Linked DNA regions of Bombyx mori. The main gene of each other region encodes a partner of the protein of the gene in region 2 in a complex. Links are inferred from orthologs where the notes say so. Each region holds a gene or a part of one and is shown on either strand. Other genes may lie near its edges.

Region 1 (4,396 bases), on a different chromosome or scaffold from region 2:
TGTTTGCATTAGAAACATTTGAGAATGATGTGATTATTCTTTCAAAGTGGTCAACTTAACACAATGTTGCTTGCCATCATGGCATTTTAACTCTATTAGGTAACTTAGCATAACAAAATCTTATTAAATCTACCATGCAATCGAACCTGTTGAAAGCCAAGTAGAAGTTACTAGAAATCTTAAGTTCAGAATCAAAAGTAATTACTATGAAGTAAAGATAATAAATTAGCTATAAGTTTAAAACATTGCCTGACTAGCAATTTTAGGTATTTCATAAAAACAAAAGTCTTGCAAACCTCATTTTTCTTATTATGGTTTAAAATGTGATAAAAAACTTCGTTTTTTCTTCATTTTATGGACATATACACCCCATTGAATAATGAAGAAATATAGATTCAGATAAATCTACTCTTTTTTTTATTTTATTGCTTAGATGGGTGGATGTAACATAAATGCAATGGTCTCAAGTATAGTTACAACAGCTGCCCCATTCTTCAAACCGAAACTTATTACTTCGGCAGAAATAGGCGGGCTGGTAGTAGCTACTCATGCGGACTCACAAGAGGTCCTACCACCAGTAATGACGCAAATTATAATTTTGCAGGTTTGACTTTTATTACAATGTTATTCCTTCACTGTGGATGTCAATCGTGAACATTTGTCAAGTATGTATTTCATTAAAAGAATTGGTACTTGCCTGGGATTCGAACACCAGTGCATCGCTTAACACGAATGCACCAGACGTCTTATCCTTTAGGCCACAACCAATTGTATGTTATTCTTCTTGTGTTATTATACCATTCAACCAATTGAGGAAAACTTTCCACTTTAATGAAATGTTAACAACATTCCATCGTATTACAATCAACTTATGATAGATAGCACGTGTAGTTTCAACAAATGAGTGCCGTTCATACATTTAGTCATATGCACAACAAAGTGTAGAGGTACATTTCACTAGTAATGGAATATCACTAGAACACAATGAATTACTAATTTTTAGTCATCTTTAGTACAATACTCTCTTTGGGCTCATTATTCGACTTAAACCTACTTGTACACTTATATTTACGGTAATGGATGTTGGTTTGGTGTAAGGCCTCCATGCTCAGGGCTGTGTTTTTGCTTTTTTCTCTTTTTCTCTTTTTTTCTCTTCTTTCGTTCTTTCTCATCGTCATGACGTTTTTGCTTCTTATGCTTTTTCTCATATGTGTCTGGATTTGATGAATCTAGAATAATAGATATGTTTTATATTAAAACTCAAGACAAAAATGGAGTATAAATAATATAACTTATAAAGCAATTTAAAAAGTATCACTTGACATCTAAAGTTAAATGAAATCATTGTGGCCTAAAGAATAAGACGCCTGGTGCATTCATATTGAGTGATGCGACTGTGTTAGTGTTGGAATCCCGCAGATAAGTACCATTTTTCCTTATGAAATATGTACTTGACAAATGTTCACAATTGACTTCCACAGTGAAGGACAGTGTTGTAAACAGACTCACTAAAAATAATTGATAGGGTGTCTTCTGAGCCCGCACGGGTTAGTACCACAAAATGTAAAATGCAGAGTACAATTACACTGCAATTCAAATACTGTCTTAACTAGATTAATGTAGTCAAAGTGCCTGGAAGACTCACCTAGACCTAAATAGCATCTACAGGTGGCTAATTTGTAATATTGTCTACAAGCTTGGGACATAGCTAAATCTATTAAATCAATGTTGTTGAGTTCTGAGTTCTTACCTTGTAAAGGTGTCTCTTGCCCAGGAGGTGCACCATCTTTATGCTTATGTTTCTTATGTTTGCTTTTATGTCGCTTTGGTGGTGTTGCACTCACATATCTGTACTGCTCAGGAAGTGGGCCAGGGTGTAATCGAAAACCTGCCAACTGAGCACTAGTTAATGGCAGTAATTCTTTACCACCAATTGGTCTCTTAGCTATAACTGAACTTAGAGTACTGTTATCGTCCTGCCCAGGTCCGTCAACGATGCCCGGCAGGTTCGGAAGGAAAGATGATAGGGATTCCTTCAGCTTTTTGCCATTAAACTTACTGTAAGAATGTACAAGTCCATAGTAGGCCATTAAATTTGTAGCGCCTGTCAGTTCACATTCTCCTGTAAAAGAAATCGTCGAAGTCACTTCCTGAATATAATTATTTAAGAATTTGAGAAGAGAATGTTAAAGAGTTGGAGATACTGACCCGGGGGTTCTTTCATCAAATAGAATGGTCCGCTGTGCACTATAGACGGGTTTTTGCCTAAGGATATAGTAGTTTTGAGTGTACCAGAAGAATCTTGGCGAGAGACGACTGGTGACCTCGCACCCCTCGGCGACGATTTTGGCGAATATGGTTCTACTTTCCTAAACTGATCAGACATCATCTTGGATGACCATTATCTACGAAACGAACTTAAATAAATTAAATACTCTAAACAAAATCACAAAAAATTAAAAAGACCTTCCCTACTCCCAAGCTTTTGACAACTCTAAAAAATAAAAGTAGGAACAATGTTGCAACACTTTTTTTTTAAGGGAACTGAGACCTTTAAGTCATGTCTTATTTTAATTTATATTCAATTTTTATGAAAAATAATATTATGGAGTGAAATAATGAAGACGACTAATTTGAGATATTAATCAACGGGATGAAATTAAATGAAATGAAATGGGATGAAATATAATCTCAGTAAAATGGTGGTCATTTACTAAGATTTTTTCAGTGGACTTTTTGGAGGATCCCGAGAAGTTACGTCCAGCGGCTTTGTTTCATTTTTCCACATTTGCGCACTTTCACAGATATTAAACACTTAATAAACCACCATTATTACACATTTAAACCCGAAGAAACACTAAATAGACAAAATAAAACAAATCACACAACTTCACTCCTCACGTTCCCGCCAAAAAGTCCTGTTGCAACACTAGCTTTGTAACTCCCACAGACTCTAATATTGTTATTTAAAGAAAATCATAACAATAGGTACATGGTTTTGTTGGTTCTCAAGAAATTTATATTTAAATTAAATACTAGCAATTCTCAAATTAAAATAGCAACTGTCTAATTAAAATAGACTTGTTTTGAATTAGTTGAAATAGTCTATTATAGTTCTGACACATAAGCACTTGGAGCTTCCGTGATAATTTTGTATGGAAAATGAATTGTGATGTCTATGAGCTTTGAAAACACTTTAAAACTGGTCCAATGGTGTTGGAGTTTGAATATGTAAGTAATGGCAGGTAACACTTGACACATGTAAGGTTACAGTTTTCGAATATTGAAATGCTTATTTAAATATTTAAAACAGATGAGTCTTCTCTTGAGTGAGGACAATGGCTTCTCTTCTAGACACGGACTATGCAACATCTTAGGGTTTTATAAAATAAAATATTGTAATGGTGTTATATATTAACCATGAAGCAGAGTGTTTTTAAATAGCCCCTCACCTACAGAACCCAGTCCTCTCAAATTTAACCGTCCAACAAAAGGTCTCGGTAACAGGTCATACAATCTTTAAAAAATCCACTAAACAAGAAAGCATGAGCTCATTCAAACTTTGAAGCAGTAAAAAAATCAAACATTCTTATTGAAACAAATGCTTAGGCTTTTTTTTTTGTTTAAGTCGTCCTGGCTTAAACTATAAGACGTCCGTAGGCTTAGTGCGAGTTTCAAAAATCGAATCGAATGACTCGCATCGAGTGTACGCTCTTCACGGTGAAACGTGCGGAGCTCTGAGTGCGAGTTACTTGATTTGCAGGACGTTTATTCATTTTGAAAAGCGATATTTTTTTCTTTTATATTGGTAGCACGCAAGGTTTTTTTTAAGGCGTTTAATTGAAATGCCAAGCTTTCTAACGATATTTATAATTAGTCGGGTAATGGGTAATGTACCTGTGCTTAGTGCAAGTTTTTTTAATTACTCAGTCGATGTTAATGTTATGTTTATTTTGTGTGAGGTTGTATCAGTGCCACCTAGTGGTAAGCTTATGAATCTCATTTTGTGGGAGAGAGAAGGTTTGTTTATGTTGCTGTCTCATGTATCAAATAGCTTTACCGAAGTGAGCCTCTCGATTATTGTATGTGCGAGTGCGAGTTGCAAATTAATGGATTTTGAGAGTATTTCTTCACTTTCAAGCAAGTTAAGTAGTCACTAAAATTTTTGCCGTGAAAGCAATATAATATCAAGATTTTTTCTTTCGTTTTTAATAATAATGTTGTTTTTGAAGGTTTTATCTATTCTAATGGTTTATACACATATATTTTTTCGGTTAGAAAATTTTATAGACGTCTAGCTAGTTGTAAATACATATTAATTCTTTGCTTTTTCATTTAATTCTTATTAAATCATTGCTTTTTTTTAAAGAGATGTTTGATGAGAGAGAGAGAGTGA
Region 2 (3,654 bases):
CGATTTCTCACTTATAAACACTCGTCGCCGATCGGTCGCAGTGAAGACACACCTTTACAAATAAAACTTATCAAGTGTAATTGAAGACAGGACGGGGTTAAGTACCATTTTTTCCTTTTTTATTGCTTAGATGTGTGGACGAGCTCACAGCCCACCTGGCCGGTCACAGGCGGATACCAATTTTTCTAATGAAATACGTACTCAACAAATGTTCACGATTGACTTCCACGGTGAAGGAATAACATCGTGTAATAAAAATGATACCCGCAAAATTATAATTTGCGTAATTACTGGTGATAGGACCTCTTGTGAGTCCGCGCGGGTAGGTACCACCACCCCGCCTATTTCTACCGTGAAGCAGTAATGCGTTTCGGTTTGAAGGGTGGGACAGCCGTTGTAACTATACTGAGACCTTAGAACTATATCTCAAGGTGGGTGGCGCATTTACGTTGTAGATGTCTATGGGCTCCAGTAACCACTTAACACCAGGTGGGCTGTGAGCTCGTCCACCCATCTAAGCAATAAAAAAAAGCAAACTTGTTAAATTTGTATCATTATAAGTTTGTTTAATGTTATACGACGATGTAGGAATCGTTGAATTCATATATACGCTATAAATACGCGCGCACGCAATGTACTACGAACAAAAACATGACGAGTCAATGAACTCGCATGACGTTTTCGCTTTACATTGCGGGTCGGGCGATTAGTGTGAAAGCACACGTTACCTGCTGCAGCAGATGCTTGAGGCCCGGGTTGGTGGGCAGCATGGGCCGCAGTATGCGCGTCGGGTGAGCGCCGGCCGCGCGCAACTGTTGCTGCAACTGCTGCTGTAGTTGATGCTTGCGCTGTTGTTCCTGTAACGTCAGTTAAGCTAACTAAAGCGATTCGAGACACGAGTAAGTTCAGCGCGATATATATGTATATATTTATATTAATAATCACCCTCATTAGTAACATAGGTGAGTCACATTTTTGGCGGAAACGAGAGAATTGAGGTTATGTGATTAGTTTTTTTTTTTAATTAGCCTCTCTTTACTATACAATAATGAAGACTTATATTAATTTATAATTTATTTAGTATTTGCGGATTGTTTGAGTGTAAGAAAACAAAAACAATATCGCTGAACCATTAAAGCTTCCATTAAAGTCTCAATTAATTTCCCACAATTTCATTTTATTTCGTTTCATTTCATTCAAATTCAAATTAATCCACTTCACTTGTTTCACACTTTCATTATAAACTAAATTATGATTCGACTCAAAGGACCATGAATTGGAAGCTATTAAAAATTTAAACTATCGTAGAATTATTTTGTCCGTGCAGTTTGGGTCATAAATAATCGGAGCGGTGAAGCGAATATTCCGCTCTCCACTCCCGAGCCTTATGGACGGGCATAGTGATAGGCATTATTGTTTTCGATAATCGTTATGGATAGTGTATTTAGTTTTGTCATTTTGTGGGTTAGTGATAAAAATGAAAGTAAAAATCACTAATCGAACACTTACACCACATATCGCCGCAGCAATTTAACGAGAACGGCAGAAATTAACATTTTGTAACTTTTCGGGATCTATTTTCATTTCAGTGAAATTTTTTAACACATTGTTGAAAACAACACGTGCAAATATTGATTTGAATAAATTTTACCATTTTGGTACAAAACAAAGGAGTAGCCATTGTGTCACTAAAGAAATTCCGAGAACGAATGCATAAAAACATATTTCTCTTCGACATATGGTACTATAATTTGCAGGTAGGTACAACAGATGACTCATAACATAACAATGTCTCATCACCCTTCGTATACCACCCCGCCGCCGTGTACTTGCCTTCGATGACTCATTTGTTATTATCGATAATGGCGTTGCGCCCGCGCAACATGCTCACTGCCCTAGCTGGGTTATGTTTTATGACCCAAACTGCACCGACAAAATAATTTTCCTATAGCAATGCATATGATTACTTCTAGCTGTTTATAGTGCTGCTCTTGTTGCTGGGCGGCGTGCAGGTGCGACATGATGTCCATCTGCGACTTGAACTGGGCCTCCTGCTGGTGCGCGGCCTGCAAGGTCTCCTGGAGCTGCTGTATCTTCTCCAGGTTCTGTTGGCGGGCCGCCTCCAGCCCGTCCAGCTGCGTCACGGAGCGCGGGCCCTTGCCGCCGACAACGCCGCCCGACATCCCGCCGCCCATCATCATACCCTCAAAACAATATTATTACATTTCAAACACGTTCCACTGCGAATTTTTGGGCCGTCAATTTTTTATCCGTGCCTGATATCTATATGTATAGTCTGTGCGACCACGAAAACTACGTAGTATTCAAGTATTCAATATGTCAAAAATAAAATAATGACAATAAAAAACGTAAAATTTAAACCGTAAAACTAGTTTTAATTATATCCAAGATTCGCAAAAACCAAAGAAAATACTATAGTTAATCTTATCTTAATCTTAATCTTATATGATTTGGTTATGTCTCTATACATTGACACAAAACAATGTAGTCTATATATATAAATATATACCTGTGCGTGTTGTTGCATCTGCTGCGACACTATGGTGCTGTTGGCGGGGCCCAGCGCCGGCACGCTGCCCATCGCTCCCATCCCGGACGAGGACATGCCCGCAGTCGACATCTGACCTGCAACTAAGGACCGCACTCATTAGTCCACGCCACCTCTACCTCCTCCATCACGCAAATGTACCTCCTATCTATCTACAAAATGACGTTGTATATGTCTATGGGCTCCGGTAACCCCTTAACACCAGGTGGGCCGTGAGCTCCTCCACCCATCTAAGCAATAAAAAATAAAAAAATAAAAAAGCAATGCGAGGCTAGGATATGCAGGGTGGAGGTACTCATACGTGAGGAGTGAGAATATATACGGCACCAGTAAATGTGGCCGAGTCACTAGTGTGACTTGTGAGATACGGGTCTACCGGGTGTCTTTCTTATACATAGCAAGTTGCAAACCAAAATAATTCTCTAATTTTTTTTTGTCCGCTTTAGAAGCCCGCAGTGTATTGCGAACATGCAACCTAGCCACTACCCTCAGACACAGCCCACTGAGTTTCTCGCCGGATCTTCTCAGTGGGTCGCGTTTCCGATCCGGTGGTAGATTCTGCGAAGCACGGCTCCTGCTAGGGTTCGTGTTAGCAACGTCGTCAGGTTTGAGTCCCGTGAGCTCACCTACTAGTTAAGGTTCCGCTGAAATAGCCTCTCAAGGCTATCAACTTAAGTAGGAAAAAAAAATAAAAATAAAAAAAATAACCACTGGATAATTGCCTACCCAACTCGAGACGTGAAGTCCAAGTGTCAATGGTATAACAATTATACCAACCTTCAAACTGGAAAGCGCGACTGCTTTGGCGCAACAATAGATTATATACTGTTGCAAAATCATTAAATGTTACCAATAACCGTCATTACGAGCCGATCGCTTGATGGGGCGGATGCTCATGTTCCACCCAAGCCCCTAGAGAGAAGGTGGCATCGAACCTGGCATGCTGGGCGGCGGTCCGGCGGCCGCGCTGACCGTCGCCGGATGCTGCTTGTTGATTATCTGCTGCGTTATCTTCTGCTGTTGGATGACCTGGTCGAAAGATGGTTTTTATTGTTTTATTGCTTAGTTGGGTGGACGAGCTCACA
Region 3 (4,442 bases), on a different chromosome or scaffold from region 2:
TAAATAAATACATATGTTCATTTTAATAATTTAATAGCATTATGACGCAGAGTAAGTAATGTTTTTGCACGTGAGTGTACCATGCGCAAACTTACCCCCACTACGTCAACAAATGCTCAAGAAGTTTGCCGGTTATTATACAAAGGATTTGTTTATGTTCAATCAAATAAAATTCGTTTTGAAAAACGTTCAGTGCCCATTTCAAGTAATTAAATATATTTTTTATGAGTAAGACTACGTATATTTTACTACTACACAGAACAAATATTTTAATATCAGCCAAATTATTTTTATAACATAACAAAGAGGTTTCATTAACACCCATTTAGATAATTTAGAGGGAGATCTTTGTCCCCCGGTGGGACATCCTACTAGAGGACATGCCCAATATTTTTTTAACATTATTATACACTACTATCTGTACCCGTCCGCTTCACTGGGCATTTAAAATTAACATTATTATTTCTCACCCCCACAAAGATTCACATCATTAACGCCCCCGCAACTGGTGTAGGGAGTCCAACACTCATATAATTAGCCTATCCATTATGTACATGTATTTTCTACATGGATAACAAGTTCAAGTCAATCGGATGCATGGTTCAGTAGTTATAACGGAACATCCATAAAAACCACTGTAGATTTATTTATTAAGTATAGATTTATAAAAAGTTTATTTTATTTTCCACTCACTTCTAAAACAACAATCATGAACATCCTAAGTTTGTTGTCTTGGTGGACCTTGTTGTGGCGGTGCGGGCGGCGCAGGAAGCGCCGGTGCGTCCGGCGGTTGTAACGTGCGTGTACGCCGACGAGTATAATGTTGCCATAGCAATATTGCTTGATCGTCCATGAATTTGCAAACCTTAAGGAAAATATTAATCATTCATTAATGAAGATATTTTGAACAGTACCTATCCATCAGAGTGATCTAAACACAGGCTTTATTTAAAAATTGTAATACATACAAATTATACTGCTATCGGATAAAATTAAAAGCGGTATTTGGTCAAGGGCCAGTTTGGCACAGTCATAAATTTTATATTTGGTAGAGTACAAGAATAAAGCACAGCTACTAATGAGGTGGTAAATAAAAGCCAATAAATTATAATAATATGACTTTTGCAGTAACTTGTACGTGGTCATTAACAATTACCAAATTTATATTCTTACATTCAAACTAGCTCAATTTCATTTGCATATTTTTTTTACTGTTGATTTGTAAGTCAAGCTCTGTTTTGGTTTTAAGCCCATAAACATCATACTGTGAAACCTATAAATCATAAAACTATATCAGAAAAAAAAAAGGCCAAGTAGTGTTAAGTTGTTACCTGAGCCCATAGACATGTACAAAGTAAATGCCTAAACAAAAAAAAATACAATGGCTGCCCCACCCATCAAACCGAAACACATTACTACTTCACTGTAGAAATAGGCAGGGTAGAGGTACCTACCCCTGCGGACTCACAAGACATCCTACAACCAGTAACTACACAAATTATAATTTCGCAAGTTTGATTCTTTTACTAGATGGTGTTATTCCTTAACTGTGGAAGTCAATAGTGAACATTTGTTTAGTATGTATCTCATTATAATAATTGGAACCTGCCTGCAGGATCTGAACACCTTTGTATCGCTTGATATGAATGCGTCAGGTCAGCCTGAGCGATAAGCCTTCAGGCCACAACAAACCTTCATATAAACACTACTTCAAAAACTGGACCAAGGTGGTCACGACCCTCAGCAATGAGGAAACGACAGAGAAGAAGAAGAAGAATGTTTATCAGCGGACTTAAAACCTATGGCATTATCTACCGCTCAAGCAAAGATTATATGGAAAATAATTTAGTAGGTGCAATTTGTACTCACTTGTGCCGATACACATTCTCTTCTAAATGCTTCATGTTGTAATAACTCCAAAAAATGCAAACACATGGGATACTTCAAATATCTAGCATATTCTGGCTCTCTCCAATATTGCAAATATTTAAGATAGTTTACAAAAGTTTGTTCTTTAAGATAACCTCGCTGTGCCAAAACTGTAAATAGACAGAGTTGACATAATTGACATCCATTACACATAACATTTAAAAACACTGGGCAGAAAAACATTTAATCACAAAATAGACGATTAGAAACTAAGTCACAATAACAAAATCATTAAACCGGTATGAAAAATACCTAACAATTTATTACTTATTTCCCTCTTGTGATGATTTGATGACCAACTTGATAGCTTCAGATCAGTCATCACATTAAGTTATCATTATAAGTTTCCATAAGTGTATGTATGCAGTGAGCAGCATTAGCCTGCATAAGTTCAAGTGGCAACATTTACATTATGATGTCTATGTACTCTAGTAATCATTGTATACCAGGTGAGTGTGAAGTCTAACAACAAAAACCAAAAAGGCAACTTACAGTGAATGTAATTTGGATTTGCTAAGCACTGCACAAATTCAAGTTCCACTTGAAATCTTATTCGATTCTGCTCTTCAGTTTCTGGCATTACTGCAATTAAATTAAAGATTATTAATTTATCATGAAATAACAAACTGTTAAATAAAATTATTTCATTCTTTCTTACCTTTTCCAGCCATCATTTTGAACCCGAAATATATGCAGCTGGAGTATTTAAATTATTCAAAATTAAACAAGTTGGTCAGTGGTGTACGTCTCAACAAATCTATGACCAAAATAATAACATATTTTCAGGTTACACAAGACAGTTCATTTTATCCTTATATAAATATGTGATATTTAAGATTTTATCATTACTAAAATGTTACACAGTACTTAGTAAGCTCTTAAAATTTTTAAATTAATTAAATCACATAAATAAATTTGTGTATATATTTTTTTCCGAGTCCTACACAACGTAACACAACTACACAATACTACATAGATTATACACTTAATATACATAGATTATACACTTAATATATACGAGCAATACTACACTACACATTAAGTTAGTCTATGACTATGATCATCATCCTACTTAGGCTTAATATTTGGCCTAAAGGTACTATACCTAAACTTTTTGGCGGGAACGCGATGAGTGAAGTTGTGTGATTTGTTTTATTTTGTCTATTTAATGTTTCTTCAAGTTTAAATGGGTTCCTCCAAAAAGTCCACTGAACAAACCACAGTAAATGATCACCATTTTACTGAGATTATATTTCATCCCATATTATCTCATTCCATTTAATTTCATCCCAGTTGATTAATTTCTCAAATTAATCATCTTCATTTCATTTCACTCCATATTATAATTTTTCATAAAAATAAGAATATAAATTAAAATAAAATATAACTTAAAGGTCTTAGTTAACAGGTCATAACATCCCTTAAAAAAAATCTGGTTTAAATGTTTAATAGAGCTGGTTTATTAACTGTTTAATATCTGTAAAAGTGCACAAATGTGGGAAAATAAAATATAGCCGCTGAACATAACTTCTCGGGATCCTCCAACAAGTCCACAGAAAAAGTCTCAATAAATAACCACCATTTTACTGAAATTATATTTCATTCCATATCATCTCATCTCATTTCATTTCATGCCATGTTTCGTATTAATCAGCTTCATTTATACTTAATATCATTATTATAATATTATTATATATATCAAATAGATATAATTATTCTTAAAAAATCCTGTTTATAGAGTATAAGTATATATACTAAGTTTATTCTTCTATATTAAATGAATTTCTACTAAATGTCCCTGCAATATATTTCTTGAACTTATAAATAATTATCATTTCAACAAAAACAGATTTTGTGTGCATTATATTTACATTTTTTGAACTAAGTATGAATTTAGGAATTATTAATTTTATTATAAAATACAAGTATCTTAACTATCTCCTATTGCATGGTAATGAATAGTATCATTAAAAATAACTGAACTGAAAACCACGCTAATTGTACTTTAACGACTAATTGACCGTCTTCACTCTTCACCGACATTTTTTTGTTGAATTATTGTTGAAGTTTTCAATATTTTTTTGATCCACTTATGAAATAATTAGACAGTATAAACCATAGATTATACACTTAATATATGTATAAACCATGGAGTTAATAAGTAGTAACTCTATGGTATAAACGCAGTTCTTCTTCTTCTTCTTTATTTTTGGCTCTGGCACGTTTTGTGCATTAGCCAGCGTCAAGTAATAACGTTTTTATAATTCGCCGTTTTATTTATTTACAGTTTATAAATAATAAAAAACGAAGGAAACTTATCGCAACAAAACATAAATGATTTAGAACGAATTGAATTTACAAAAAAAATCAGAATAATTATATAACAGGGAAAATAAATCAAAATTATAGTTTAATGTTATTATTTAATATAAACCTACTTAAAATACTATATACAAGGGGATTAAAATCTCGAAGAAGTAAAGAAATATTAGTAGGAAGGGGAACAGAGAGAG

Evidence for each region. Proteins that work in one complex are often made in the same cells at the same time.
Region 1: mediator of RNA polymerase II transcription subunit 25 (region 2) and mediator of RNA polymerase II transcription subunit 19 share a complex: the UniProt entries of both Homo sapiens proteins name them as parts of the mediator complex. The link is inferred for Bombyx mori from reciprocal best matches to the Homo sapiens genes MED25 and MED19.
Region 3: mediator of RNA polymerase II transcription subunit 25 (region 2) and mediator of RNA polymerase II transcription subunit 31 share a complex: the UniProt entries of both Homo sapiens proteins name them as parts of the mediator complex. The link is inferred for Bombyx mori from reciprocal best matches to the Homo sapiens genes MED25 and MED31.

What each region holds. Positions count from the first base shown.
Region 1 is NC_085116.1:16,053,020-16,057,415, forward strand, and holds the start of mediator of RNA polymerase II transcription subunit 19, read right to left. Parts: upstream 2,915-4,396; 5' UTR 2,390-2,914; coding exon 2,209-2,389; intron 2,123-2,208; coding exon 1,751-2,122; intron 1,230-1,750; coding exon 1,069-1,229; 3' UTR 1-1,068. UniProt on the Homo sapiens protein: Component of the Mediator complex, a coactivator involved in the regulated transcription of nearly all RNA polymerase II-dependent genes.
Region 2 is NC_085126.1:7,896,119-7,899,772, forward strand, and holds part of mediator of RNA polymerase II transcription subunit 25, read right to left. Parts: intron 3,599-3,654; coding exon 3,505-3,598; intron 2,653-3,504; coding exon 2,531-2,652; intron 2,205-2,530; coding exon 1,968-2,204; intron 858-1,967; coding exon 729-857; intron 1-728. UniProt on the Homo sapiens protein: Component of the Mediator complex, a coactivator involved in the regulated transcription of nearly all RNA polymerase II-dependent genes.
Region 3 is NC_085122.1:5,746,379-5,750,820, forward strand, and holds the start of mediator of RNA polymerase II transcription subunit 31, read right to left. Parts: upstream 2,915-4,442; 5' UTR 2,604-2,914; coding exon 2,588-2,603; intron 2,512-2,587; coding exon 2,422-2,511; intron 2,040-2,421; coding exon 1,870-2,039; intron 866-1,869; coding exon 719-865; 3' UTR 694-718; exon of another isoform or gene 1-693. UniProt on the Homo sapiens protein: Component of the Mediator complex, a coactivator involved in the regulated transcription of nearly all RNA polymerase II-dependent genes.